Arabidopsis thaliana: one gene and its partners. The protein of the gene in region 1 interacts with the protein of each later gene in a pairwise test. Each region holds a gene or a part of one and is shown in the gene's direction. Other genes may lie near its edges.

What was found.
Region 2: the proteins of BIM1 (region 1) and AT3G23060 interact in binary tests that used the Arabidopsis thaliana proteins (3 or more experiments, as listed by UniProt).
Region 3: the proteins of BIM1 (region 1) and ASA1 interact in binary tests that used the Arabidopsis thaliana proteins (3 or more experiments, as listed by UniProt).
Region 4: the proteins of BIM1 (region 1) and CRF12 interact in binary tests that used the Arabidopsis thaliana proteins (3 or more experiments, as listed by UniProt).

Annotation. Positions count from the first base shown.
Region 1 is NC_003076.8:2,603,999-2,612,995, reverse strand, and holds BIM1 (basic helix-loop-helix (bHLH) DNA-binding superfamily protein), read left to right. Parts: upstream 1-2,745; 5' UTR 2,746-2,901; exon of another isoform or gene 2,902-3,081; 5' UTR 3,082-3,424; coding exon 3,425-3,461; intron 3,462-3,592; coding exon 3,593-3,694; intron 3,695-4,110; coding exon 4,111-4,512; intron 4,513-4,613; coding exon 4,614-4,716; intron 4,717-4,800; coding exon 4,801-4,937; intron 4,938-5,022; coding exon 5,023-5,137; intron 5,138-5,234; coding exon 5,235-5,304; intron 5,305-5,401; coding exon 5,402-5,497; intron 5,498-5,608; coding exon 5,609-5,946; intron 5,947-6,047; coding exon 6,048-6,159; intron 6,160-6,251; coding exon 6,252-6,341; 3' UTR 6,342-6,978; downstream 6,979-8,997. UniProt on the Arabidopsis thaliana protein: Positive brassinosteroid-signaling protein. Transcription factor that bind specifically to the DNA sequence 5'-CANNTG-3'(E box). Can bind individually to the promoter as a homodimer or synergistically as a heterodimer with BZR2/BES1.
Region 2 is NC_003074.8:8,196,252-8,203,835, forward strand, and holds AT3G23060 (RING/U-box superfamily protein), read left to right. Parts: upstream 1-4,384; 5' UTR 4,385-4,616; coding exon 4,617-4,722; intron 4,723-5,112; coding exon 5,113-5,212; intron 5,213-5,290; coding exon 5,291-5,705; intron 5,706-5,789; coding exon 5,790-6,292; intron 6,293-6,356; coding exon of another isoform or gene 6,357-6,379; coding exon 6,380-6,430; intron 6,431-6,518; coding exon 6,519-6,591; intron 6,592-6,670; coding exon 6,671-6,865; 3' UTR 6,866-7,084; downstream 7,085-7,584. Other genes in the region: IAA7 (indole-3-acetic acid 7), read left to right, coding at 272-333, 425-465; CFM3A (CRM family member 3A), read left to right, coding at 7,297-7,584.
Region 3 is NC_003076.8:1,717,779-1,725,739, reverse strand, and holds ASA1 (anthranilate synthase alpha subunit 1), read left to right. Parts: upstream 1-2,829; 5' UTR 2,830-2,928; coding exon 2,929-3,118; intron 3,119-3,327; coding exon 3,328-3,512; intron 3,513-3,604; coding exon 3,605-3,800; intron 3,801-4,312; coding exon 4,313-4,464; intron 4,465-4,583; coding exon 4,584-4,699; intron 4,700-4,793; coding exon 4,794-5,184; intron 5,185-5,262; coding exon 5,263-5,496; intron 5,497-5,573; coding exon of another isoform or gene 5,574-5,589; coding exon 5,590-6,000; 3' UTR 6,001-6,165; downstream 6,166-7,961. Other genes in the region: EGY2 (ethylene-dependent gravitropism-deficient and yellow-green-like 2), read left to right, coding at 64-138, 237-342, 427-520, 620-773, 868-1,075, 1,171-1,331, 1,463-1,717; AT5G05735 (uncharacterized protein), read right to left, coding at 5,574-5,774; AT5G05720 (RNA-binding (RRM/RBD/RNP motifs) family protein), read right to left, coding at 6,199-6,380, 6,487-6,706, 6,911-6,993, 7,178-7,373, 7,502-7,567, 7,740-7,961. UniProt on the Arabidopsis thaliana protein: Part of a heterotetrameric complex that catalyzes the two-step biosynthesis of anthranilate, an intermediate in the biosynthesis of L-tryptophan.
Region 4 is NC_003070.9:8,944,109-8,950,627, reverse strand, and holds CRF12 (AP2 domain-containing transcription factor family protein), read left to right. Parts: upstream 1-3,999; 5' UTR 4,000-4,028; intron 4,029-4,305; 5' UTR 4,306-4,584; intron 4,585-4,682; 5' UTR 4,683-4,863; coding exon 4,864-5,727; 3' UTR 5,728-6,019; downstream 6,020-6,519. Other genes in the region: AT1G25480 (aluminum activated malate transporter family protein), read right to left, coding at 1-366, 653-799, 893-1,029, 1,129-1,398, 1,500-1,637, 1,822-2,161; AT1G25460 (NAD(P)-binding Rossmann-fold superfamily protein), read right to left, coding at 6,384-6,519.

The DNA of each region.
Region 1 (8,997 bases):
GTTGGCCACGTGATGGATGGGGGAGGCTGTGAGGTAGGCAGCCAAAAATACCCCAAAAGGTTTCGTTATCACGTGATACGGCGCGATTTACGCGGCGCAACTGCCACGTGTCCTCTTAGATCCAAAGTCTCGTACGTAGCCTTCTCCTTGGTTAAAAACTTCATATTTAATTTCAATGTATCATAATTAGTTGTTTAATCTCGTGTTTTAACCCTAAGTCACATGATATCTAGATAGATAAACTATTTGTTAACTGATCCCTAAGAGGATTCCTGTGCAAATGTACAGAGGAATGTCCGCATTACAAATACATTTGTTTTTCTTCAAGTCCAGCTTCTTATTCTTCTTTTCTAATTGCTTTATGATTATTTAATCTGTTACTATACTATTAAGAAAATAACAATGATTAGAGACAACTAATAGTCCTCTTTATAAGGAAAAAAGAAGTAAAGAAGACAGCTAATTCAGATGAGATGCTCTCCCACACACTCTTTTGTGTATGCATAAAGTTTCTGTAATTAATGTTTTATTTAAAAACACTTTAACAACAAAATAAATAAATTAAGGGTTTATATTTTTTTAATTAAACTTCTGAAAAGAGAATGTTTGATAAACTGTAATTCTGTAAGAAATCAACGTAGAGAGCATTGATATCTAACATTAAAACCAAAAAAAAAAAAATGTCATTGATATATAGTTATATACTTATATGCAAAGAGATGTTTAATATTGTTCACCCTTAAAATATTATCAAATCTTGATATTAAAACAGTTGTTAGCGTGTGCATGAACCTGGTGAGTAGTTGTGATGAGATCTCGCATTGATTTACTTCAAATTGGATTAAATATGTAAAAATATGTTTAAGAAATCTTGTGACTCCGCGAATGATTTTCTCCTATACATTATTCTAATTAATTCCATGGATATGTTTTATAATATGCGTAGGAAATTAAAGAAAATATGTTTTGTATTATATAAGTTATTTTGATCTTAATCTTTTGAAGTTGAAACCTACTTGATATGCTTCTTCTTATTTTGTTAACTAACTCAAGTTGAATGATTATTTATTGATTGAATTACGTAAGACGGGAAGAACATGATGTGCCCAACCGAACCACGAATGGTTAAGGATAGGTCGGTTTGTGGCATATCAATAAACAGTTTATGAGACTGAATGGAAACCTTCTTTCTTCGATCGACTAAAACCCTTAGCCTTCCAAGTTTCTAGTCAAGAAGTATTGTTACTAAATTGCCCTTGATGTTAATGTTTTCGAAAATCTATTTATGTTTCTACAGTGTTTCTCTCACGTGAGTTGCAGAGTCAGTTCACGTGGTCCCACTACATCATGAAAACGACGTCACACTAACCTCTTATTCGCCTTTCACTTGAATTGACCATTTCGTTTTTATTTACTTTCCTTGATTTCTTTCTTTCTTCTCATCTAAACGTGTAAAAATCTTAACAATTCCATTTGCTTTTTTGTTTTTGATTTTAATGTATCTAACCAATTACTTGTGCTCTAGAGAAACCGAATCTCGAATAACAATAATACATTTCATCAAAGAACCACGAGATTGCGAGTGATTTTAAATCAATATAATACAATTCATGGGGTTAATATAAAATACAGAGAATAAAGCGTGTTTAAGCACAACCTAACAACTCACGAGACAAAGTGGAAGGCATGTGGGGATGTGTAATTGTTTTTGCTCTTTCCCTATTTTGTACAATTTTTCACTTCATGTGATCCAACACTATTTAGCTATAGTTCCTTTCTCACTATCATCTCCATCTCTGTTTTCAATTTATTATTTCTATCTTCAGATTAAACTCATGACTACTGGAAAGATGTAGTACTCAGAAACTAACTAGATTGTAAGCATTAGGGGAGGGCAATAAATATTACTCGTAAGTAAATTTAATTCTTAACTACTGAAAATCTTAAGTAATTTAATCAAGTATATACGTACTTGCAAAAACTTGAAAGCCATAACTATTTTCGCTTGAATACAAATGGACTAAAGATATTTTATCATTTTATTTTTGGTTTTAAGAGATGACTTTTTTCGAATATATAATTCAAATTATATACAGTACTAGACATATGTTAGTTTAGTAAATGCTAACAAGACTTTTAAAATAAGTACTGTAATTTGTAAGTCGTCTATTTGGTTTACTTATAAGTTAGTGATTTTGTAACAAGTGGCATTCAACTAAATATAAAAATGCGCTTAGCTCACATGATCAGGTTCTTAACTATGGGTTTTAGACAATTTGTTAAAGGCGGAAGAGCTGTCTTTGTTCCACCTAATGTCACATACATTACATATATCTCCACTCACACAAATACATAGACGCATACACGTACGAACAAAATCATACTTGTCCCCCTATATTCCATCATCTATAGCAGAATTTCTACTACTAAATTTACTATTAAATTGGTAATTGTTTGCAGCCAAGCCTAGCTATCAATTAGTAGTACGTATCTTTGTCAAACTTACCAATTACCTTCCAATTTACCAATTAAACAAGTCGTCTAGTTATGCGCATTCAGTACACACGAACATAGACCACGTAATACAGTGGTCTGATTACATTATTTACATGGAGGTTTTTATAAGCATGATTTTCTAAACGGAGACACAAAATCTTCTTTATTTTATTTTTCCTTTTCGCACTGTTCATTTAGGTTTGGTGGTATTAGGCTATAGAAGAATGTACGATGACTTGAATATCAGATACATGAGATTCTTAATTAATCATACATATCTTACCATTTTAATTAGTTAACTGATTTCCTTTTGATTGCATTTACTTCGACGCATGATAGTAGTCGGCGTAATTTCAACAGTACCTTGACACGCCAAAAGCTTCACGTAATTTGCTGTCGAAGAAGGTACGCTTCTTAGCTCAAATCTAATCCATTCGTGTTCTTTAGAGATTTGACTTGGATTCTAGTTTTTGTATCTCCATGTTCATTGGTTGACTTGAATTATGCGAAATTGAGTTGGTTTGAGCTATGAATTCCGCTGAATTATGGTTATTCTCTTGAATTTCTACCCAATTCTGATGACAGATCTATCGATTCCACGAATTTGGTGACTTCTGCCGATTCTCCCGTTTGAATTCTGTGGAATTCGCTGAGAAAAGTTGCGGCGGAGGCTGATTTAGGTTAAATCGAGCAGAATTTGACCAAATTCGAGGATTTTTATCGGTAAAAAGATACAGAGAAAGCATAATTCAGCAACTTCAGAGCTCAATTCCGCTTCTTCAACCATCGAAAACCACAATATCTCTTGAATCAGCTGCTACAAGTCGCAGATCTGAGCTGCTAGCCAATTTTTGCGATAATTCCCGCGCACAGATTAGTAATAGAATAATTTAAAAAGAATTCAAAAACCGTCGAAGCTCTGTCGTTCATGGAGCTTCCTCAACCTCGTCCCTTCAAAACCCAAGGTAAACACCATTATCAGATATTATTGTTACCAATTCCTTTATTTTATTTTAAAACAGAGTGTTTAGTTTCTACAAGATTCATAATTTTAAATTTATGTATTTTTTTGAATTTTGATATATATATTAAGAAGAATTTCGCACAGGGAGAAAACCAACACATGATTTTTTATCGCTCTGCAGTCATTCAACCGTCCACCCAGATCCAAAGCCAACACCACCACCTTCTTCTCAAGGTATTTTTTTTTACCATTTTACCCTTTTTTCTTCTTTAAGATTCTCTTAAAAGGGGTCACGTTTTTTTCGCGCGTGCATCTGATCTGACTTTAAGACGAATCATGGATCAAAATGTTGCTATTTTGTTGGGTCCTAATGGGCCCATCTGTGTTTAAAGCCCATGGAATTTTGGGACCGTTTTTTTCTTTCTTTTTCGTCTACACATGTCGTTAAACCTTGCCTTCGATTAAATAAATATCTTTCAACCCTCATGATGTTGATCCCTAGAATTGCATCACATAAATAACAAAATGTTGTTAATTACTATAAGCGTTTAAATGCATACAACTTGATGTATAAGAAAATGTGTATTATCTAGGGATTTACTTCTCTAACATATAGTTTATGTTTTTAATTTTGATGGTACGTGAAGCAGGTAGTCACTTGAAAACCCATGATTTTCTTCAACCGTTAGAATGTGTTGGTGCTAAAGAAGACGTAAGTAGGATTAACTCTACCACTACAGCGTCCGAGAAGCCACCGCCCCCTGCTCCACCTCCACCGTTGCAGCACGTGCTTCCCGGTGGTATAGGGACTTATACGATTAGCCCCATTCCTTACTTCCATCATCATCATCAGAGAATTCCTAAGCCGGAGTTGTCACCACCAATGATGTTCAATGCTAATGAGAGAAACGTTTTGGATGAGAATTCTAACTCTAATTGCAGCTCGTACGCCGCTGCATCAAGCGGGTTCACTCTGTGGGATGAATCTGCTTCTGGGAAGAAGGGACAGACAAGGAAGGAGAATAGTGTTGGGGAGAGAGTAAACATGAGAGGTAACAAGAAAACTTGAATCGTGATGTTTATTTAGACTAGTTTTAAAGTAGTATTTAGAAATCAATGGAATGATGAAATATAAGTTTTTTTGAATGTGTAGCTGATGTTGCAGCAACTGTGGGACAATGGCCAGTGGCGGAGAGACGGTCCCAGTCTTTGACAAACAACCATATGAGCGGTTTCAGTTCTCTCTCTTCCTCTCAGTTAGTCTCATATCTTCTCTTTTTTATATAACTCGGTCTATGGACTTTAAAGAGTGATCAACTAAAGTTTTACTTTGGTTGCAGAGGGTCTGTGCTTAAGAGCCAGAGCTTCATGGACATGATAAGGTCAGCAAAAGGAAGTTCACAGGAAGATGATTTAGATGATGAAGAAGATTTTATCATGAAGAAAGAAAGCTCCTCGACTAGCCAGAGCCATAGAGGTTTGTATTGTCCGAGATTCCACCTATATGATATCTAAAGTCTAAACAGTAACAGCTTAGGATCTGATTGATTGCTTCTTTACAGTGGATTTGAGGGTAAAAGCAGATGTGAGAGGCTCTCCTAACGATCAAAAGCTGAACACACCTAGGTCTAAACATTCTGCTACAGAGCAACGGAGAAGGAGCAAGATCAATGATAGGTAAGTCCTGAATATGTAGCAAAAGCCACCAGAATTGGTTATATAGCTTAGCAGAGTGGAGATACTAATCAAACATTGTTAATGGATCCCTCTGCAGATTTCAGATGTTGAGACAACTAATACCTAACAGCGACCAAAAGCGGGATAAGGCCTCCTTCTTACTAGAGGTATAACTATACTCTTTTGGCCGAAAATTTTGTGACAGTAAGATTCAATCACATCTGCTCCTAATCTCCAATTTTTTTTTTTGACAACTTCATACAGGTTATCGAGTATATTCAATTCTTACAAGAGAAAGCAGACAAGTATGTGACCTCTTACCAAGGATGGAATCACGAACCTGCGAAGCTATTGAATTGGGTAAATATAATCTCACATTTTCCGACCATACTTCATTTTTATTCCCCGGGTTGGAAACTGAAAACAAACAAACCATGTAATGTTAACCCGTGTGATCCATTTACATTATAGCAGAGTAACAACAACCAACAGCTAGTACCTGAAGGAGTTGCTTTTGCTCCAAAATTGGAAGAAGAGAAAAACAACATTCCGGTTTCGGTCCTTGCAACTGCACAAGGTGTTGTTATTGATCATCCAACAACCGCGACGACCTCTCCATTTCCATTGTCGATTCAAAGCAACAGTTTTTTCTCTCCTGTGATTGCGGGTAATCCCGTACCCCAGTTCCACGCAAGAGTCGCATCATCAGAGGCTGTAGAGCCAAGTCCGAGTTCCCGGAGTCAAAAAGAAGAAGAAGATGAGGAAGTTCTTGAGGGTAACATCAGAATTTCAAGTGTTTACTCACAAGGGTAAAACTAAAAAACTCTCTTTTGAATTTTGATCTTGCAACAGTTAAGTAAAAGTAAAAAATTATTAACCTTTTATACATTTACTTTTGTGTGTGGAGCAGATTAGTGAAAACACTGAGAGAAGCATTGGAGAATTCAGGAGTGGACTTAACGAAAGCAAGCATCTCCGTTGAAATCGAGCTCGCTAAACAATCCTCGTCTTCTTCCTTCAAGGTATCTTTTTCTTTACTTACGTTTGATTCAATTCAAACACATTTTCATGAGTTGGATCTTGATAGTTTATAGTTTTGTTCACATCTCGATAGGATCATGAAGTTCGTGAACCGGTTTCTCGAACCAGAAACGACAATGTCAAGCAAACTCGGAAACCAAAACGGCTCAAGACGGGACAGTAGAAGTTATAAAAACAAAACCCAAACACACAATCCGGTAAAAGTTAAACACCAAAATTGATTCCTCTGTTTTTTTCTTTAAATCATTTTATCTCAAAAAGGGATTATAATTTATTATTATAGTTATATCTTTGATTTTTTTCTTTTGTACATCCGAAATCCTGTTATATATATCTCGTGGGTCCATAATCGTATGAGACCTAAGAAGACTAGGGCGACCCGGTTATGCTAACCGCATTTTAGAACATACTCTTTTGAGGAATATATCGTTAAGGAAGGCTTTCAAAGTTTTCTGGAAGCGTCCAGTGTTAAGTGAAAACATTTTTCACTCTCTTATATACTTGATCATCTCACACTTTTTATATTTGTTTCTTCCTCTTACTTTGTTCTATGGTTTTCAATGTAATACTAGATATCTTTTATGTATTTGACTAAACCAAAGCGCATGAACGATTTTGAAAAAGAAAAAGAGAAACACACTTAATTATAATGCCAATCAAAAGCCTGTATGACCCAACTCTCTAGGACAAAGTCTGGAGCACGGCAAAAAGATTAAATCAAGTGTACTTTAGCAACAAGAGCTATCTTGTACTATTATTTATGCAATGTTGTTAGCAAAATAATCAAATGTTATGTGGGGTATTATAAGATATGCCATTGAAAAATATATCAACTAGCATTTAATTACTTTTATTTAAAATGATGAAAATCATATCTTCTATATATTCAACTTCAATACTTGATTTTCCAAACTATTGAAGTAAACGAGATCCCATATATAATGGGATAAAACAACAAACATCAATTACGTTCTTTTAACCATAATTTATATCCATAAACAACAAACCGCCTGTATTTCCTCGGACACGAAGAGGATTTGACACGGGAAGCTTCGTCTTCTCCCTCCTCGTCGTCGCCTCCAAAACTCAGGAGTTTCTTCTTCAGAGACGCGGTGGTAGCATCTTTTACCGTGGAGTTTCGTCGCCGTCGTTGTCTTTATCAATTATGATCTTTCTCGAACTAGAGCTTTTACAGTTAGGGTTTGAAACTTTGACTGGAATTAGAGCAAACTTTGGTCGTGATTGTAGTATTTTTTTAGTTTGGAATGTTGTTTATTATACTAGATATTAATCTGCAGTATACCGCGGACCTATATTTTTATTAAATAAAAAATAATTGAATAATTTTTAGGATGATTTAATAAATTTATGTTATTGTTTGATTTAAATGTATAATTCACCGCGAGACGAAATTTTATAACTCAAATTTTAAAGTTTTAAATTATATTTGTTTATTTTGTTAAATGTTTAATATTGTATAATTGTATATTGATTGTTGTTTCTCAGATTTCACCCGTAGTACACCATCCCATATTAATATCGAATCAAACCCGTCAATTCTAGGATTTCACCCGTGGTAGTATTTAATTGTATAATTATATTTTAATTGTCATCGTAGGATTTCACTCCTAATTCTATCGCAAATTATTATCAACCCAAACCAGTCAATTCTAAAATATCACCCGTAGTACACCATCCCATATTAATATCGAATCAAACCCGTCAATTCTAGGATTTCACCCGTGGTAGTATTTAATTGTATAATTATATTTTAATTGTCATTATCAGATTTCACTCCTAATTCTATCGTAAATTATTATCAACCCAAACCAATCAATTCTAAAATATCACCCGTAGTACACCATCCCATATTAATATCGATTCAAACTCGTCAATTATAGGATTTCACTCGTGGTAGTATTTAATTGTATAATTATATTTTGATTGTCATTCTAGGATTTAACTCCTAGTTCTATTGTAAATTCTTATCAACCCAAACAGTCAATTATAAAATTTCACCCGTAGTATAAAGTTTAAATATTTATAATGTTTAAATTTCTTATAAAAGAATCAAAATGTGTTTTAAAAAAATTAAAGTTTTAAGTTTTTTTTTTTTAATATTGTTAATTTTGTTTAGTGTTTAAGATTATATAATTATATTATGATTGTTATTATATGTTTTTTTCCATAGCATACTATCCCATGTTATTATCCACTCAAACCCGTCACACCATATAACCTCGTCCCGTGAAATTAAACACAAATTTGTCATTTTATTATAAATTTCAAATATTTATAAAATTAGAAACTTCAAAAAAGATTAATATTGACCCAAACTTCATCATTGAATTTTGAGTGTTATATCTAAGATTTCTCTCGCAGTATATCGTCCCGTATTAATATTTTTTATATTGTTTAAATTTCTTGTAATATTTAATTTATAATTTTTTAAACTTTTTAAAGTTTCAATTTTTTAAAATAAATAACCCTAGTAAACAAACCATTTTAATTTTGGACACCTCATAAATCAAGTTTCATGCTCATTCGTAATCGAAATCATTTTGGTCCTTTTTATAGTATGGCTCTTGACCATTGTCCAATTTTTTTAAGCGATATGGGACATTCTAAAATCGTAATTATTATCCACCCAAACCCGTCCTACCATATAACCCAGTCCCGTGAAATTAAACATAATTTTGTCATTTTCTTATAAATTTCAATATTATAAAATTTGAAACTTAAAAAAAATACAATATCGACCCAAAATTCATCATTGAATTTTGATTGTTATATTTAAGATTTTTCCTGTAATATATCGT
Region 2 (7,584 bases), on another chromosome or scaffold:
TTATAACTTGACTCGTTAACCACATTTCCCGAAATTGGTAGAGACAAAGCCAAAGATATTCAACATCCATGTGTTATAAATACGTACAACCATGCATTGGTTGGCAAGAGACAAGAGGATCTTTCAAAAATTATACAATAGTATCGATATGTTTAGAGCTCATTCGTAGCTGGCACATCATCATATTATTGCCAAAAACCTTAGAATAAACTTTAAATGTTAACGACTCATATTCTAATGTTCTAACCGTAAACTTGAATACCTATTTCAGAATGTTTGTCGAGTCTTGCAAACGTTTGCGCATTATGAAGGGATCTGAAGCAGTTGGACTTGGTACATCTCTAACTTTTTTTTTTTTTTTTTGTTTTTCAATTTTTACCAATTTTCTTTTTATTTTAATATAATTCTGTTTTCTTGGTTATAGCTCCGAGAGCAATGGAGAAGTACTGCAAGAACAGATCTTGAATTAATAATAAAAAAAAAGAAGCATCAATGATCAACAATATGACGGGTTCTTGATTTTATATGTATTTTTATGATTGTATGTGGCTATCACCTATATATGTGTGTTGTAATTTTAAATACTTGATGGGTATATAGGGCAGTATTTTACCAGTAAGATGTGGACAAACTTGTAATGTGACCAAAAGAGAGGAAACTTCAATATCTCTGTGTTTGTGTCATATTTATTGCCCAACATGTGTCTGTCGGTTTGATGATCAATCACAACTTGATATGTGCATACATATAAATGTGTGTATGTAGGTGTGTGTACATGTACATGTGTTTTGATCCCTACTCTGCTACTTGTCGTTTCTTGTGTGTGTTATCTAATAGTTTTTTCCCAAAATGAATAATTCGTTGTTATGTTTACTATTTTACCAATAAAATCTTAGCTTTTTAATTCTACTCTCTAACCATTACTAGCGTTTTTTAGTTTTAAAAACTCTGATTATGTATTGACTTTTAGATGAAGTCTTTAATGAACAATTGAACATATCCTACAACCCACAAAAAAAATAAGAAGTAGAATTTAAAGTTGGTTTGTTGTCATTTCATCATAAATTGTGTATCCTAATTTTTTGGGACATGTGGTCCGTAATCTGTCATATTTTAAACTAACTGATGATTATATGTGTAGCGGCTTTACAAGATTAATTTAGTCATCATTTCAAAAATATGTTGAAATCAATATAATTTGTTTTCATTATTAAAAAAAAAGTGAGTAAGATACAGTTACAAAAGAGGATATAAAAGTTTTAATATTCGGATGTTTGTTACTCACTTACAATTTGTTACGACTTGCGAGTTATTGATGGTTCTTACTGGTGGATGGATGATGGATCATTAGATATATATATTGTATTCATATTATAGATTAATAATCTCATATAAATTATGTAAGTCGTTGATGCCTCCAAATAGTATAATTTGACCTCTTTTGCGCTCTAATTTTGTGGGAGGAATTTATCAAATTCAGGACCCATGAGAGGGGTAGGGAACAAGAGCATGTGCATGTTCATGGGTCTTTTAATTCATATGGCCATTATGTTATTGTAATTTGTACCCAATTTTCCCGATCACGAGAGGAAAATTTCATCCTATTTTATAATTTGTCTCAATGTTTGTGTCATATTCTAGTTAATCTATACTCGAATAATTATAGTATTCCCGATCGTTTTATAGAAATATATAACCAAAAACCAAGGTCAAACGTGCAATATGATAATGACTTTGAACCAAAAAAAAAACTTAAAACAAATTGCAACCTCATGGGTCCTAATTAAGTAATTATACACCAACAATATAGTTAACAATTTAATTATTCTTATGTAAAGTAAGAATAACTTTTGATTTGAATTATAAGCTTATAGAGCCAAATATAATTAAGTATAGGCCAGGTCCATTGAAAATTCAGACATATTAATTATTACAAATGAAGTCGAGTAATGTAGAGTTTAAGGGTACGGTTTTTTGGTAGTGACCAAGCTCGACAATGCAAATCTATTTTTAATTCTATATAGCTATATTTATAAATGAAATAATGAGTGTTTTGGGATCACTAAATACAAACTTTCATGAGTTTTGATGATTGTAATACCCAAACTTTTTTCTTGGATCCGGTGCAACGATAGAACTTAATTTCATAAAATTAGCCAAGTGATGAAAAAATGATTAAGCGCTACTAGGGACATGCATGCATGCGTTTGCAAATTCTAGGTCAAAACTAATAAATTTAATTAACAACTATACTATCTTAATGATTTGATTTCCAAAACAATGCTAAATGCAAATAATATATCAAACAGAAAAGACCCAGATTACACAAACAATAAATATTCAAATGATCTGGACTCTGGAGATAATACGTGTTTAGTTTTGAAAAAGCAGTTTAAGAAATTATAGTAGCATGTCCAATTGTTTACTAAATTAAAACCACAAATTCGAAATGTTTATGTTATTATGATATTTGAACTGCTATATATGGGAGTTTGGACTCTTTTATTTCTGTTTCTGTTTTTGTACTAGACTTTAAGTTTCTGAGTTCAATATATATATAATCAGCATATTAACAATCATTATCATGTACGTGAAGTTTCATTCCAAAGATTTATTTTTTTGACTTAAATATCTGTTTTCTTAATTTCGTACGACCATTCAATTCTTGCAATGTCTAAGAGAGTGGCCATAGGAATTCAAAATTTGATACATGATGACACTTTACAAATAAATCCAAACTAGTACAAACCCAAAAGCCTCATGAGGCCATAATATGCAAGGCCTAGTTTACATCTTTTAGAGGTTCGTTTATTATAGTTTACTTTCCAGGAAGGCCCTTTTATTTACACTTAAGAAAATAAAGCGAAGGGAATATGTTGACACACAAAATAAGAACAAAAGATAGGTGAAAATGTTTTTCTTTTTTTTGAAAATCTACATTGCACTATTTTTGTTTTATGATAAATTAGATTTTAGACATGAAATATCTCCTCATATATCAAACACTTCACAAAAAGGATTCACAAATATTTTCACGTAGTATTCTTTATATACCAATGTTTTGTCTATAATACATTTAATGTGAATTTATACAGGACTAATGTAAATTCTATAAAATCTTATCATAAAATTCATTAAGGAGATTCAGAAATATTTTCCAAGAGACATTGTTCTTGTACTACACATTTCAAAACACTAATAAAAGTAGCTTAAACATTATTTTTACGTAAAAACAAAAACCAATTCCTAAAACTGTATTCTTGTAAAGACATGTAGGAAATATTTATAAATATTCTCTCTAACTCGTCAAATAATATATGAGATCATTTTTACACATGTAGCATCAGTTTAGGAAAAATATAAATTAAACAGTATATCTCGCATAATACAGAAATTTGGTATGGTCCAATATGAAATTCAATGTATATACATGAAATTGTTTAGAAAGATTTGGAATTTTGACAAGTATATTACATGCGGATATTTTTCTTGAAATTGAACAAACATAGAAAGAAATTTACAGTGTATTTAGAGATTTTAAGTCAGAAATACGCATTTAATTTAATTTTACTTACATAGTAAGAAATCTAAAATTTCATTTGTTAAATACGTAATTGCTGACGTCAAAAAGATGTAAATTTTATAGAAGAATTTAAAAATTTTGAACACGTAAACTACATGTAGATATTTTTCTCGAAATTGAACAAAACGTACATAGAAATTTACAAAATATTTAAAGATTTTAAGTCAAAGGATAAGCATTTAATTAAATTTTAAATAGTAAAAAATCTAAATTTTCATTTGTTAAATACGTAATTGGTGACGTAAGAAAATGTTGTAAATGTTTTAGTAAGATTGAAAGTTTTTGACACGTAGATATTTTTCCCGATATTGAACAAAACCTACATAGAAATTTACAAAAATCTTTAGAGATGTTAAGTAAGAAATACTCATTTAATTCTATACTACTTAAATAGTTAAAAAATCTAAATTTTTATTTGTTAAATACGTAATTGCTTACGTAAGAAAAAATGTAATTTCCTTATAAATTAGTAACGGCCAAAACATAATGATTATAAGTTAACAAAAAGAAAACTAAAGAGCCTGAAAAATAAATATAAAAATATATATACAATGTAGACCTTTTATGAACAAATTTGTAACTCTATATTTGAAAAACTTTGCAATAAATTGTTAAATATAAATTAAACCTAATGCATCACTCATGTAATCATTGGCATAAAAACTATAATATATTTTCTTTGTGAGCCACCGAAGTTTAGCTTTCTGTCACTTTGACCCTCTCTAATTATTCATAGTTTTAAAACCAACCCTCTCTAAAAATACTTAAAAGCAAACTCTTCCAAAATCAAAACCTCTTCTTACACAGATTTTTTTTTTCTCTGAGAGAGACAGAGAGAGCGAAACTTGAGAGACCAAAATCCAATCTTTTCAACAATCGATTCTCTCTGAGAAAACCAACAATAAAGCTAGACACTTTTTTTTGTGGGTTTGTCTTCTTCTTCGTTCATGCACCATGTTGTGTTACGTGAACGAAGAAGCTATATAATCAATAAATCTTATCGATTTGTTGAGTTTGGGAATCGGAGAGAAAGATGTTAACAAAGGTGCTTAGTAAGGAGGTTAAGCCATGCCTTGCTTGTCCAATCTGCACTAATCCGTTTAAGGATGCCACCACAATCTCCGAGTGTCTCCACACCTGTAAGTGTAACCCTTCGATTGTTTTTTCCTTTATCTTTGTGATTTAGATTCTGATTTTTTGTTTGTGACTATCTCTCTGTTTATTGGTTATATTAATTAGTGTAGACTAGAGATTATATCAGATTGATTCTGAAACTTGGAAGTTGAAACCGATGTTTTGTTTAGCTTTTTGGTGTTGTTGTGTGTGTTTCAACATGTATCTGTGTAAATATTAAGGTAAGCAGATAAGGACTGTTTTTTTTTGTAAGTGGATGATTCAGTGTCTGTTTATGTCTTTGTGATTTCAAAGTTGCTGTTTCTTTAGCTTGTTATGTTTCTAGTCCTGGCTTTAAGTATTGGTATATCTTGTGTCTTTATATGAATTGGGACTTGTGGAATTTGTGGTAACAGTTTGCAGGAGCTGCATTCGTAACAAGTTCATAAATGAGAGAGTGAACGCTTGTCCAGTCTGCAACGTTAACCTCGGTGTTTTTCCTCTAGAGAAACTTCGGTATGAACTTGTTTGATTCTTAGCATTTGCATCTATCTTTATGCTTTTATGTGATTTGAGGTATCTATATAAGTGCAGGTCGGATTGCACTTGGCAGGATTTGAAGCTGAAAATCTACCGAGCAATGATGGAAAGCTTAAAGAAGGCAGGACCTAAAACTGTTGCAGCGTCTGTGAAATCTTCGAAAAAGAAGAGAAAATCTCGAACTTCACTGCGGGTCTCTTCATCTAGAGTATCATCCTCACCTGATACTCCATTGGAACCAGCCAATGTGGTTGTGGAACCACCTAATGTGGTTGTGGAGGAGAAACATAGGGAGACCGTTCTAGCTCTTCAAAGCACTAGAAAACCGATAATCACGTTCCAGAAACGTGGGAGAAAAGCTTCACTCCCGAAGAAGATTGATTCGAAACCAGAACCCGAACTGCCTCCTAAGGAGCCTAAAATTAAGAATCTATTTGACCTGAACAACGAACCTGAAGACAATGGATTGGTAAGTATGTATATGAGTCTTTGTATAACTATTGTTCTCCTTTGTTAACTATCTGTTTGCAACTAATGTGTTTATGCATCTTAGGACGAAGCTGAAGGATCAACTTTTCAGGAAGTCGTACCAAAGGAGAAAGATCTTTGTAAACCTATTTTCTCTCTCTCTGTCACTCTAAACATCAACGATACTCCTCCTGATATCGTTGAGCCTGAGATAAGTTCGGATGACGACACAGAGGAATCTGTTGAACCTATTCAGAACAAGTGTGTTGTGAATAGAGAAACAAAGGAAGTTCCTGTTCAAGTGAATCAAAACAGTCTCCTTATTAGCTCTGATAGGGATAGAGAGGACAACTCTGGTCAGAAACTGAAGACCAATGGTGCTGCTACCTCCAGATCAAGGAAGAAGAAAGGTAAGAAACCGGTGGAAAAGAGCTATTCTTTGAGACCCCGAATAGGCAGGAGGACGGTTAATCCAGCAGCTGGTACTACTACACCAGAAGCTCCGGTTTCCGTGGAAGAGGAGATGAAAGTTGAAGAAGGACGTAACAACAATCCAGTTTGGTTTTCACTAAAGCCTTCCAAGACTCAGTAAAACTTTTTTTCTATCTTCTTTTTTCATGTCTTTAACTTATGATTCTGTTTATATTTGAAGGACTCGGTTTCTTCGGTTTTCAGGAACATTGAAATGCTACTTCCACCGATCACCGCTTGCTGCATAAGAGTAAAGTAAGTACTAATTAAATTTCAACTATAATCTCTGTTGTTGTTGTAGAATGTGTGATATTGATTCTTTGATTTGTTTTTATGTTCACAGAGATAGCAACATGACTGTCTCATATCTCAAGAAGTATCTAATGGTGAAGCTCGGTCTCGAAAGCGAAGACCAAGTAAACTAACTCTTCTCTCTATCTATGTCTCACTCTCTCTTGTCTTTTAACTCTAATATTTTTTGATGTTCTTTTGCAGGTGGAGATATGGTTAAGGGATGAGCCAGTGTGTTCGTCACTGACACTACATAACTTGGTGGATTGGTGGGTCCAAACAACTCCATTGCCTGAGCGACAAAGCGCGATGGTCGGAAGCTCCGCTGCTGAATTCATCATGGATCTCTATTACAGCTTCAAATCTGACGCCTCTGACTCTGGCTCTGCCTCTGAATAATTCTTCTCAGAACTTCAAACTTTACTCTTCTTCTAAACTCATTTCTTGCAGAATAAGTTTCTTTTGAAAGACTTCTAGTTTTAGCATCTTTCTTTATTTAATAATTGCTGAGACCTAAATATGGAAAACTCTTTATTTATTTGATTTGCTTGCTTTTTGAGGACTCAAACGGTATCGTTTTGTACTAATTAAATAGAAGCTCATTTTAGCTAGCTTGAGTTATATTTGATAAGATGCGCCGGTTTTGTGCTCTGTTTGGTTTAAGGTAGGGTTAACGAAAGATCTGTATCCAAACAGTCTTCTTTTTTGCCCGCCATGGATAAACACAGAGCCAGGAGCTTAGTGACGAACTAAAGGTGAAATTTTTATTGAAAGTTTCAATTTTTATATGGATTGGATTACAGAAACATTTCTATGTGAATAAACCAACAATGGCGATGAAGCCCAGTCTCCATTTTTGCCCAACTACTGTCACGAAGAAGTTTGTCTACTCGTTTCAAAGCTCCTTCTGCTTCCGTTTCTTAAGGTATAGTTCATCAATTTCACTTGGGTCTTGTAAAGGTGTTACCTTTAGTTCGAGAAATGATCAAATTGCATCGAGGAGGTTTAGCTTTAGTAGGGATTGTAATAATGGTGTGTGGCTAGAGAATTGGAATAGAATTCAGAAACGTAATCAACCTAAACCTCCAAAGGTAGTTGTGAATTATCGAAAAGAAGGG
Region 3 (7,961 bases), 890 kb from region 1:
AATACGAGGTTCTGAAATTCTCTTATTGTTGGATCTCCTGACGTTTTTATCCAATGTTGGTAGGGTGGGGTATTGTTCAAAGGAAATCTAAGAGGCAAGCCTGCTACAAGTTACGAGAAGATAAAGACGAGGATGGAGGTAACAATTCTGCTTTTTGGGTTTCCTTTCTTAACTATGATCGTTGACAAGCACATGTTGTGACAAAGAGTAATAGTGTATTGCTCATCAATCTGCAGAATAATTTTGGTGACCAGTACAAGCTTTTCCTTCTCACGAATCCTGAGGATGATAAACCTGTGGCCGTTGTTGTTCCAAGAAGGTCCTTAGAACCCGAGACAACAGGTATATTGCTATACACTTCCATGTTAATAAGGATATCTCTCTCAGATTATTAAGTTTTAGCTGGATACTACATATAATTTGCAGCTGTTCCTGAATGGTTTGCTGCTGGTTCTTTTGGATTGGTGGCATTGTTTACATTGTTTCTCCGTAATGTGCCTGCCTTGCAATCCGACTTACTGTAAGAACATCTTGAACATGTTTTCTCTAGAATATGTTATGCTTCCAAAACATCTAACTGAATAAAAAATTTCCCTCCCATATATGAATTTAATTGCAGATCGGCCTTTGACAACCTTGAACTGTTAAAAGATGGCTTACCAGGAGCTCTTGTCACCGCTCTTGTCCTTGGAGTACATGAACTGGGACACATTTTAGTTGCAAATAGCTTAGGAATAAAGCTTGGTGTTCCATTCTTTGTTCCAAGTTGGCAGGTGAAGATGCGATGTTCTATTTGAAAGAAAAGGAAAAACTTTCAGCTGAAATTTGGTTTTTTTAGACATTTAATGAACATGTTTTAGATGGCAGATAGGCTCTTTCGGTGCTATAACGAGAATCAAAAATATCGTAGCCAAGCGAGAAGATCTTTTGAAGGTTGCAGCTGCAGGACCTTTGGCTGGCTTTTCTCTAGGCTTGATTCTGTTTCTTATAGGGTTATTCGTGCCTCCCAGTGACGGCATTGGCGTTGTAGTTGATGCATCAGTGTTTCACGAGTCCTTCCTTGCTGGTGGTATTGGTAAGCTTTAGCTCTCAATCAAATATGATAAAGTGTTGCAGGCTGAAGCTGGAGAGTTGATCAATGTTTAAATTTTGTTTCTTTTTCTCTTATAGCAAAGCTCCTACTAGGTGATGCACTCAAAGAAGGAACTTCAATATCTCTTAACCCACTTGTGATCTGGGCATGGGCTGGACTTCTCATCAATGGCATTAACAGTATCCCTGCGGGGGAGCTCGATGGGGGCAAAATAGCTTTCTCCATTTGGGGAAGAAAGGTAACACTAATTAGAATGACTTAAAAAGCTTAACAATGTCTTATACTATTCGTCTTTGTGTTCGAGTCCATTCCCCATAGTAGATTGATTAGGTAGTAATCAGAATTATATATGTCTCCTAATGATTTCAGACCGCAACACGGCTCACGGGTGCATCCATAGCGCTTTTGGGCTTATCGGCGTTGTTCAGCGACGTGGCATTCTACTGGGTGGTTCTGATATTCTTCCTGCAGCGTGGACCGATTGCGCCGCTGGCTGAAGAAATCACGGTGCCTGATGATAAGTATGTGTCTCTTGGAATCCTGGTTTTGTTTCTCTCCTTGCTTGTGTGTTTGCCTTACCCATTTGCTTTCACGGGCAATGAAGCCATGATGATTGGCTTGTGAAGTGACTCATATCATTACACCGCACAATAAGAAATCAGAGATATAGTTGTAACTTTTTGTTTTGGTCTCTATGCTCTACTTTGACATCTAAAGTTATGTTTTTGTTCTTGCTCTATATTTTTACTCTCATGGAGCAGTTTAGGAAACAAACCAAATTTCTCACAGAAATGTGAACTAATATTTTGCTAATCAGTTATTAATTACGTGTGGGATTGTCAATCTAGGTTTTGAAAAAGAGACTTTCACTGGTTGGAAAAACAGAAAAGACCAACTTTGTTTATGGGGTAGTGATAATCATATTGTTAACAACTTTGTATATATATATATATATATCAGACGAATTAATAGAAATTTAAACTACATTATAGACATGCGAGAGTATGTGACAAATTTGATGCTATAACGACGTTAAATTCTCTATTCAAGAAAAACAATTCAAAACTTTAATAACATAAAGAAATGACTAGGAAGGATTAATATTAGTATAATAGAAGGAAAGAATAATATTATGAAATTGGAAGGTAAAAGATAAGAAGAAAAGCACATGCTTTTAATGTGGATGGATTTGATTTTGGTTGGTAGCAACTAAAGGCTAAAGCAACCTTCCAATTTACATAGTCCTACTATGATCGTTGTTTATTCAAGAAAATGTCAAAGTTTCTACATTCGTACTATTATATAATTGACTGAAGAAATTAAATACTAATCTGGTAAAAGAAGTAGTATTGTTAACATTCCGCTATCAGGCATGTTACCAACTTTTCTATGTTTTTATTTTTGTTGGAAAAAAATGAAAAACGCATACTTGAGGATTGTCTTGTAATGGCATTAATAAAGAAAGACTTTTCGAACACTAAAGTAAGAAGATAAGGGTTTTTGACTTTTGAGAAAGACGACCGTTCGTATCGTTTGCTTATGAAACTGATGCAATATCTTTGTGAATGACAAGTTTGCTTAGTTTTTCCGAAAAGGGTTCGCTGCCTTCATGGTTCATGCACATGACTTATAGTGAAAAAATGAGGGAAATTGGAAAATACAGGTAAGGGGTATTAAAGTAAATTGCTAAATAAGTCACATGGTCATCTTCTTTATAAATATGCCACATCTCGTAGAATAATCACTAATCAAATTTACTCATTTAGCCGTCACCTCTGAATCTTCTTCTCCGATCTTCAAACATTCCGGCCGCCACCGAGTTCTTAGCCGTTACAATGTCTTCCTCTATGAACGTAGCGACGATGCAAGCACTGACTTTCTCTCGCCGGCTTCTCCCTTCTGTTGCTTCTCGTTATCTCTCTTCTTCTTCTGTGACCGTTACTGGATACTCCGGTAGAAGCTCGGCTTACGCGCCTTCTTTCCGTTCGATTAAATGCGTCTCTGTTTCTCCGGAAGCTTCAATAGGTGAAGCAATGCTCTTCGTTTTTTCTTTTAATTTGGGTTTTTGATTGTTTGATTTTTTACCGATAAAATGCGGGAAAATGGTTGAACGACATTTATGTCAAGCTTATAATTTCTATTCTCTGACTAATTTGATTGGTTTGATTGTGAATGTGAATCTTCTTAAGCGTGAAAACAGTTCTGATACATGTTTTTGGACTTGTTCTCTGCAGTAAGTGATACAAAGAAGTTGGCAGATGCTTCTAAGAGTACAAACCTTATACCAATTTACCGCTGTATATTCTCTGATCAGCTTACTCCTGTTCTTGCTTACCGTTGTTTGGTCAAAGAAGATGACCGTGAAGCTCCTAGCTTTCTTTTCGAGTCCGTTGAGCCTGGTTCTCAGATGTCTAGCGTTGTAAGTATATAATCTTTCTTTGTACATATCCTTTTTATCTGTTAATATGTCTCAGTTCCTAATTGTTTCTTTGATGTGATTGGTCTCGATAGGGTCGTTATAGCGTTGTTGGGGCTCAGCCTGCGATGGAGATCGTGGCAAAGGAGAATAAAGTTATTGTAATGGATCACAACAATGAAACCATGACTGAGGAATTCGTCGAAGATCCAATGGAGATCCCAAGAAAAATCTCTGAGAAATGGAACCCTGATCCTCAACTAGTTCAGGACCTTCCAGATGCGTTTTGTGGTAAGAGATTCTTCTTTATTGTTTATAATGAGTCACTTTCTAGAATAGTTAACTTAAAAGGAATGAAGCCACTAGTTTTAAGGACTGGGGATATGTGATAATGGTATGGATGTCTTCGAGACAAGCTCTTGCTTTTGAGTGATCTTTTTAAATGTCAAGTTTCATGGATTTCTATCTCAAAACCATTTAGCAATTAATGCACGTAACCCGTGTTCACTACATACCATATCATATGGGGTCATGGGATTCCTAGTTGTAAACATGTACGTCTGATTTCCCAAGAGGCAAGAGCAATTGATAAAGTAGAGAACTTTCTTATGCTGGTCATTCTGTCCCTGTTGTGATCTAGTTTTCCCTCTACCTTTTGTGCCCAATTCGCCTTTACGTTCTTGAATATCTTTTCTCGCGCTTTTAGATAGAAGATTGATTGCCCTTAGTGTTTTAGTTTACTTTTTGTGCTTTATCTTGTTCATGAAGTGGTATCTCTTAGTAAGATTTCTTTATTATGATAGGTGGGTGGGTTGGTTTTTTCTCGTACGACACTGTTCGTTATGTTGAGAAGAGGAAATTGCCATTTTCAAAGGCCCCTGAGGATGATAGGAACTTGCCAGACATGCATCTTGGTCTGTACGACGATGTAGTTGTATTTGATCACGTGGAAAAGGTAATCATTTTGTCACCATCCATGTTTTATGATTAACTGAGACATGCATCTTAGTTTCCTTTTTATGCGTTATCTTGTTCTTGAAGTGGTGACTAGAGATTCCTTGTAAAATTTTACAGAAAGCATATGTCATTCACTGGATTAGACTAGATGGGAGCCTTCCTTACGAAAAGGCATACAGTAATGGAATGCAACATTTGGAGAACTTGGTGGCCAAGTTACATGATATTGAGCCGTGAGTATCTCTTTGAATTGATTAAGTTTTTCAGCTCCGTTTGGCTACTATTCTTAAAAGTTGTTCATTTTTCTTCCGCTGTGAATCTATGCAGGCCAAAACTGGCTGCAGGTAACGTGAATCTTCAGACACGACAATTTGGGCCATCTTTGGATAATTCAAACGTGACATGCGAAGAGTACAAGGAGGCTGTGGTCAAGGCCAAAGAACATATACTTGCAGGAGACATATTTCAGATCGTGCTGAGTCAACGTTTTGAGCGGCGAACATTTGCAGACCCCTTTGAAGTTTATAGAGCACTAAGAGTTGTGAATCCAAGTCCGTATATGGGTTATTTGCAGGTTGGTGATGGAGAGAACATTTCTCAACAACTTTGCATTTTGTACTTGTGGATAAACCATCAATGCTGTTTTCGTTCTGTTATTCAGGCTAGAGGATGCATTTTGGTAGCATCAAGTCCAGAAATTCTCACCAAAGTAAAGCAGGTAAATCTCTCTTTTCTCAAAGCTGCATTAATCTTTATATCATTTTTGAAGCTAACCTTTATATCATATTTGAAGCAGAACAAGATAGTGAATCGGCCATTGGCAGGAACCAGCAAGAGAGGGAAGAATGAAGTTGAGGATAAGAGATTAGAAAAGGAACTGCTAGAGAATGAAAAGCAATGTGCTGAGCACATCATGTTGGTTGATCTCGGTCGCAACGATGTTGGAAAGGTTACGAAATACGGATCAGTGAAAGTAGAGAAGCTTATGAACATCGAACGTTATTCCCATGTTATGCATATAAGCTCCACGGTAATTGTTAATTAGATAACTAGTAGTAGATCAAATATCTAAAGTCTCGCATAGTGTGTTCCTTAATATCTTAAGTTCTAATTCTGTGTGTAGGTGACAGGAGAATTACAAGATGGTTTGACTTGCTGGGACGTACTACGTGCGGCTTTACCAGTGGGAACAGTTAGTGGTGCACCAAAGGTCAAAGCTATGGAACTAATCGATGAGCTAGAGCCAACGAGGCGTGGACCATACAGTGGCGGTTTTGGTGGAGTCTCCTTCACTGGTGACATGGACATTGCTTTATCCCTTAGGACAATCGTTTTTCCGACAGCATGTCAATACAATACAATGTACTCTTACAAGGATGCTAACAAACGGCGTGAGTGGGTGGCTTATCTTCAAGCTGGAGCTGGTGTAGTAGCTGATAGTGACCCGCAAGACGAACACTGTGAGTGCCAGAACAAAGCCGCTGGTCTTGCTCGAGCCATCGACTTGGCTGAATCTGCATTTGTGAAAAAATGATTGTGCCCAAGAACAGAGGCTGGCTTTCTTTGAACTCCGAGTTCATGTGTATAAAACAGTTACAAGCAGAACAAAGTTTTTTCTTTTTCTTGATTTTGTGAGAATTGCAATTAGACTCCATTAATGAAGCTCTGAAAAATGTTACAATAGAAACCATGGTCAATAATATTCAGCTATTCTCCCAAACTTGATTCTTCTTTAACCAACAACTGTCGAGCTTTTCCTTTTCTTTGGATTATTGTTTTCTTGATCCACATACTTGGCAGCAGAACGATATCGGATCGCCTTCATGCTATTGTCAACCTTTTTCCACTCGATCACCTGCAAAGACGGCAAATAGCGAGTTGAGGATGCATTCAAGGATGTCAAAGATGAACAGGCTAGAGAGATGAGTACACAAGATAAGTCCATAGAAATGGGTGTTGGATAATGCCTTTTTAGCGTTTAAAGCTTCTTGCTTTGTCTCAAATTCAATAAAACCATAACCAGCATATCTTCCCTTAGTCCTCTCTGGAAGCCCAACGCTCTTGATCTGTCCAAATGGAGTGAAAAGCTGTCTTACTTCTTTCATAGTTGCTTCAAAAGCTATATTTTTCACATGTAACTTTGTCAAAATTGTGTCCTTGTCTAAATCTTTCCCAACCGTTCCACTCGGCTTGTTTTTAGAGAAGCTCAAGATCAAAGCATGCCCATCCACAACAGTTCCCTAGGAGCAAACAAAAAATTGTCACCCTACTTCATCGAGTCCAATCAACTTCAAGTTTCAAATTAAAGAGACTTAACTAGGATAATATACCTGTAGATCTCTGTAGACACTGGTCGCTGTCTCTTCGGAGTCAAATTCTACAAAACCATATAAAAAACAGACATGATGGTTAACTGCATATCATCATCTGTCAGCAAAACTTACCTTAAAACTCAGAATCTTTCCCTGCTTCACCAGTTCAGTCAAATGCTTCTTCAAACTCTCATCAGTGTCTTGAAGTTCAGAATCTTAACATAAAGGACATTTGACTGAAATATAATGCATTATTTAAAGGAAATGTTACAAGATTGATCAGAAAACTTGAAGCCAGTCAACATAAATTATTCAGTACCTAACGTGAAACTTACACTGTAATACTAAACCCGAACATAAATTAGTTCAGATACTTCAATACCACACAAAAGGACGAACACATGGTTTCAAAACGTCCACAGCAATCATAAAGTGGGCATACCTCAGTTATATCCGAATCGATTCCAACCTGCTGATCCAAGTTGAGTCTTCTTCTCACATCATTTTCTTCAACATCACTCGTATTTTCATTGTTATCGGCAAGTGCTTTTGGCTCAAGAATATCTCTAGGAGCCCCAGATACAGGGGAGCATCTCTGTAATAATAAGGAAATGTGATGAAGCAGTTTGGTTAGACTAGGACAACCATTTATCTCCAAGAAGCACTTTAGGGGAAGAAAGAATGAGGATTTTAGACTTTATACATAGAGAAACAAAAGCTTACTTGTAACGCTTGTACGCCCATTCCCTTCAGAGCTTCACGTGCCTCAATCGGTTCAAGGAAAACAACCTGAAAAGTCAAGTAAGAACAGGTTAGAGAATAATCACCTATTCGTTAAAAGTCAAGTGCTTCTTTGGTCTCCATAATCACGGGGCTTAGCTGGTGAAATATTCAACGTCCGCCCCTGGAAAGGTAATTTATCTAATTTCTCCATTGCCCTGCAACACCATCCAAATTAAACATCCTGATGTCCGAATCCGAAAACATGAATTGTAAACTCTTTGTCAACTCTGTCAGCTTCAATATCCCCATCAATAGGAAAAACATGAATTGCATCTTCACAACCATAAGTTTCACAATCACTGTCCGAATCCGACAGATTTTTCTTTGTCCGACTCTTGTAGTATTCCATATCAGAAACATCATCACCAACGAGAGCAACAACTTTAATCTTTCTAGTCTT
Region 4 (6,519 bases), on another chromosome or scaffold:
CTGAGAATCATTACCAGCGTGTTGATTCTGATGATGAGGGTTGTTGTTATTGTCCCATATCTGGCTGAGGGATTGAATCACTTTAGACTCGTCGTCTTTGGCTTCGTGATAGTTTTGTTGCGCTTCTTCAGCTTCGGCTTTCTCTTTCATAGCAGCCCAGCTTTCTGAGTTGACAAGTAGGAAGGAGTTACTGTCTATTTTCATCTGTAGTTCCTCTGCTGCTCTTTGAACATCCTTGAGAACGTTCCCTGGGCTTAGCTTCTCCATTTTCTCCACCTTTTCTCCAAACAACCTCAAGACTTTGGCTCCTTCGTTTCCAACTCTTTGAAGTTCTTGACGAAAAGCCTGCCTTTTTTCTGGAGCTGCCTGCAAATCCCACACCAATTGATATCACAAGTCTTATAGGGCATACGACAAGCATTGAACTCAAAGAAAACCATTCACTAGTAACAACAGTAAACTAGGAGATCCCACTTTGCACCTACTCAACAATTATATGACAAATATCCGACTTCTCAGAGTAACAGTCTAGTTAATCACGAAGAGGTACTAGTAGCATTTGAAGCAGGTTGGTATAGTCTCTAATAACCATTATAGCACCTCATTTGCTATGATAGATAAAGTTGTATTTAACAAGAATATGGTAAGTTACCTGAATTTCCGAAAGAATGCAGCCATGCATTGCCATGACCATGAAAGCGCAGTGCCTTACTGCGCCACTAAGTTTGACGTAGTTTGCCCATGGATGGTGGAAAGTCTTATATGGTCCATGTGGAGGCTCCCATACTGCAAAATCAAGCTGAGGAAAAAAGAGGTCATCGTATCTTATCATCTAAATCCTTTTCAAGTTATCTAGTTGCTGCTCAACAAAAGTGTCCTAAGGAAAACACACCAGAGAATCTTCTTGGCTCGTAGATTGGACTACAGACCTGTATCCACTGTATAATGGATCATCCGAAGCTTGGTAAGTGAGAATCTTCGAAGGAATCCTCTCGTATTCAACACATTGCAAGTACCCATTAACACATCCTGAAAGTTTTAGGAAAGCACAAACAAAACAAGACATAAAAAAACAGCCAAAACCCGAAACGAAACAAGAGAAAACAGCCATTTGACGTATCTCTCTACCTTCAAGTGAATTGGCCACACTTTTGAAATTCTTAACAACTAGTTTATGGAGGTCTTCTCCAGCCCAAATGGGAAGTATAAATATGTTCACACCCAAACAGATACCAGCACCAACCAGGATAAGCAAAAACCTATAATAAGCAGTGCTAAAAAAATCTCTAGAGTTGTTTCCAGACACAAGAACAATACAGTATGTCAACAAAAACACCCTGAATGCATATTCATACGACTTCATCGCCGGGTATAGTTTCAAATAACTTGCAGAAAAACCTGATAGACAAACCAACAGATTCACAAGTATCAAAAATAAAGTTAGTATGTTTATTTAAAAAAGGTTCATTTCTAATAAAAATTGAGAGAAATAGTGCAACCTGCAATGAAAATACTGATAATGATAATGAGTTCTTCAAATTCTCCAGCTGAAACAGAGAGTCTAGCTATGCCAAGAGCAAGTCCTCCAGCAGAGAGTGTTCCTATAGCTCTATTAAATCCTTTGACCAATGTTGCTCCTTCAAAAAACAGAGTTAGAGCCAAATTAGATCTCTGAAGACAAGTAATCCTAAGACAGATCTAATGAGAATTTAGATCGAAGAAGACGAAAGTTTTGATTTTTAATCAAAATCCGGAAGATTTGATCGAACAACAACAACCCCAGAATCGATCTGAATCTATAGAATTCGTGAGTCACAGTACCTATACTATACTCAAAGACGACGACAACAGTAAGGATCGCCCAAACAGCATACTTGCTAGCGTCACGGAGTGGTTCTTTAAGGTAGATGACGAAAGAACAGAGTGCGAGAGCCATCCCCATCTTAACGGAGAAGTAAACTTTCCGACGATCGGAACGACCCATCTCGTATAATTTAGCACCGATGTCGTATAAAGCTTTCCAGGAAGCAGTGATCCCGTCGGAGCAAAATCGGAAACACCGGAACTTGGAACGACGGTCATCGATGATGTTTGAATCATTGAATCCGAAATCTGAGCAAGCTTTTCGAGAGAGAAAGGCTTCTCTAGTTTGGTCAGCCATTTGCGTTGATTTCTTCTTCCAAAAGATCACGATTTCATAAACTGAGAGTGAGATGAGATGGTTCGATCAGATGGATCCCACTTTAGAAGAAACCTTAATTATAGTGGGGTCCTGTAATGAAAAGGGGTGAATCATGTTTAGAAAGATTCCGAAGCTATAAGACAACATATAATTTAATTAGTAATAGTATATGATTTTCATTTGTAGAGCAAAAAACAACATGATTTGGCCGTCCATAAAAGATGTTTCTTGTTCTATATGTATATTGTTTCTTACGAAATTTTAAATATTTGAATTTGAACTCATTTAAAGAAATTTGGAAGTAGTCAAATCATAAAAATTTGTATTTTTAAGGACATTGAAAAGTACGATATTTTTTCTTTCTTACCAATATTAGGCATATCACAATTTTTTTATTTTATTAAATCATTGTTTTGCTAAAAAAAAATCAAGCAAAAATAACTATCAATTGAAGAGTAGAGTTTAAAAAATAGTATCACTCATGTTTTTTTTATAATTATAACATTTATTATGTGATGTATAATAGTGTATAATTGTTTTGTGGTAAGATGAAAAAAAATCGTTTCAGTCTATTAATTCATGTTTTGCTGTCACCATTTGAACAACAACACCATTGTAAAAAAATTGCAATCACAGATTCACAGTTCAGGTTTTTACCGAATTTTGAAAAAGTTATTGCATCCGCTCTTTGCCTTCATACAACAGAAGCATCTTATGTGTGGAGGACTACACTTGCATAAAATACCAGTAAAATTGTTCTTCTTATGAGAAAGATTGAATCACACGCTCCCAAATGGATAGCTTAGGCGATTAGTGGGACATGATAGATGCATGATATTAAAGTATGGTTTGGTCATGCGCCATTAATATGTATGTCCCTTATCATATACGTCTCCTAATATAGAGACCATTTTGTACTAAAGTTCAAGAGACCACATAGATAAAATTAAAGAAAAGATAACATACTGATAATTTTCTTAGTAACATGTATATGTGTACGTATACCACAGAAAGAATGATCAAATTTTAGATTTCAGAACGCAAAACAACTTAACTGGAAGGAAAAGAAAATCTAGTTCTAGTCTATATCCCGGAGAGATGCTAATAAGAGTCTTTAACTAGGCTTTGCTCTCTGCTTTTGCTTTGTTCTTTTCTTTTCTTATAAACTAAAAATCTCTAGAAAACATTCATACTAAAAAACAAATTCTAGAAACCCAAAAATTTACTAAACCTTATAAAAAAGACCAACAAATGTGAATACTTTCTTATGATAAAGTACGAGATGAACTTTTATGACAGATTTTCTTTTGTAAATTTACATTTCAAACCAAAAACCTAATTCTATATTGGCTAGTTATGATTCATGGCCGGCCATTGATGATAATTTTGTAAACGCTTTAACACATATAAATGAGTATTTAAATATTTTTATATCAGTATTTTCACGAATGCTACATATTTGAATTGGCTAAACAAACACAAAAGAAAAAAGAAAAATACCACAACAATAACATTTCCTAACCACATTTACGTCAATATGTAAATTTATAAGTAAACTAAAAATACTATGTTTTGAGCAGTTTAAAACAATTTGGAAAACAATTAGTCAAGATAATATCATCGAAAATTAGATTAGATATTCCAAGATTTGTTACTTTTTCCTTTGAATGGTTCATGCAAAAAAAAAGGAATGGTTCCTTTAGACCAGCAGTAAAATAGTAGTAAAAATCGGGTCTAACGTAACAAGTGAGAAAATCAAGGTAAGTGAATAATACTAACAGCATATAAAGGTTAAAGCTTTATCCTGTGAGAGAAACAGATAGAATTTTCAGAAAAAGAGCACAAGGTAGGTGAAAGATTTCTTCTTTCTTTTTTTCTCATCACAAACTCTCTGCATTTCTCCACGAAATCATTACTTGAATAGTAACCCGTCTCTCTTATATTTGCTTACTGTGAGCCTGCGACTGTAATTTATGTTCTTCTCTTTCTAAAGATTTGCGTTTTGTTTGAATCGGAGTTTAATTCAAGAACCCTTTTTTACACTTCTTTCTTCTAAGGGTTTTAGGTTGTAGCTGTGTGTGTGTGTCTCACTTATCTCTTGTGGGTTTTTATCTCTTTTGAAGAACAGGAACAGTTAAAAGTCGGGATTTTTGGGTATTTGAGAAGCAATCGGAACAACAACGGCGTTTGTAACGCGGATTTATGTCGGCTGTGTCTGAATCGGCTGCGATTTCGTCTCTGTTTCTAATCTCCTTTGCAATTCAATCGTCTTCTTCTTCTTCCTCGTCTGTCTTGTTCTTTGGTCTGAGTCTGACGGCTGTTCTTAACGCTCTTCGCTTCTGCTCCGAACAGAGGCTTATTCTTGAGGTTCCTTCCATTTCCATGGGCTTAAGACTTAAAAGGTTTGGCCTTTTCTCTCTTCTTCTTTATCTTTTTCTTTTGTTGGTGAAGGAGAATCTAAAGGTTTTAAGTATTGGTTCTGGATTGTGATTTTGTGCAGGACTTGTTCTGGTGTTGAAGTATTTGGGGGTTTTCACGAAAAGCAAAAAATACCCTTTTTCATAGTTCGCTGAAACAGAGAAATCTTTTTCCTGAAAAAAACCTCATCCGATTTAGCAGTTTTTGATCAGAGATTTTTGAGTGGGGTTTTTTTGGTGTGTTCTTGGTGTGTTTGAGAAGATATGAAGTCCTTTGTGAAACCTGAGAGAGACTCTTTGTTGAGAACAGTTCGTATTGTTTTCACTGATCCTGATGCTACTGATGATTCCTCTTCCTCTAGCGATGAATGGTTACCTAAACCTCGAAAGGTAAAGCGTTTTGTTCATGAGATTACTTTCCTCCCTCAGGTCTCCGAGAGTTCTCAGGATCGTAGCAATGCTGTCAAAACCCCTAGAAGGAAATCTACTAGGCAGTTTAAGTATCCTGTGGGAGTTAGGCCGAGGCCATCAGGCAAATTTGCTGCTGAGATTTTGAACCCATTCACTAAAACTAAGAAATGGTTGGGTACTTATGAAACTCCTGCAGAAGCTGAGAAGGCTTATGTTGACAAGAAGGTTGAGTATGATGCACTGGCTTCTTCAGGTTCTGCTGTTTCCTCATCGGTTGTAACAGTGACTAGCCAGTGCTTGCGTTCCCCTACTTCTGCTTCTGTTTCTTGTGTAAGTGCTGATGATTTGTCTAAAGAAAAGACGTCTCTGAACAAAGATGTTGCTGCGTCTGGTGATTCAACCACCAAAGAAGTGTTCACTACTTTCGACTTTTCGGATGTGAAAATACCTGATCTGAGATTCTTAGCAGCAGAAGAGGATTCTATGGTTTCTAATGCAAATGGTGCAGAGCTAGACTTTGATTGTTTCCTTACTGACTCTAACATTCTGCTGGATGATTACTCATTGCTCGAAAATGATATCAACTTCAGCAGGTTTGAAAACAGTCTTCCAAGTGAGCTACCTGACTGTGATTTCACTGAAATGGAATTCCAGCTTGATGATTTCAAATTTGCCTATACAGATCATCTGACAACACCGCCTCTCGGTTTGGTTTAAGAGTTGTTAGCTTCGGTTTCTGTTTCACAGGAACATGATGAAGAAAGCTAGAAAGTATGATCCTTGCGGTCTGATCTCTATGGATTTTTCATGTGCTTTTAGAACAGTCCAAAGGAGTGATTTGCACAACATTTTTTCATAAATGTTGGTTTTACTTTCTTTCATCTTTATGTTTTAATCTATTTCCTTATGCATTGTTCTTCGTATCTCTTTTGTCTCTTGGTGTTGTACCTTTCTCTTTTAATGTTTGTCTAATCAGGACAGAAAATCTAAACCGAGAATTTAATAAGTCATGGGTTGATATTAATAGTACATAACAGTTGGATCACATTTATGTTTTTGAAGGTGGCTAATGGTGATTGTGACTTGTGAACGACCAAAAATGAAATGTAGACGACTCTCTCAAGTGGCATTCTCCACTACCTTAAAAGTAAAGAGTACTAAAGAGAGTTGACACGTGTTCCTGTACCTTTCTTGGTACGGACATTTGTGTGTGTTAAGCACGTGATACGATCAGTCCAAAGAAACTCTACAAGACGTGAGCGAGATGGTGTAATTATTAAGTCCAAGATTGATGGGCACTTTACATAGTGTGGAATCCTTTTAGATTAAGAGATCTCGTTGATGTTTAAATATAAGCTTGATTAGTTTGTGTTTCAGAGCAAACCCTTGTCTTGAAAACACTTGATACAGTCATCAAACATCTCTGTTAATGACTTGAAGGAGGCAAAGCCAAGTTCATGTATTTTTGTTGTGTCTAAGCTATGAGGCATATCTTTCCCTTCTTCACTG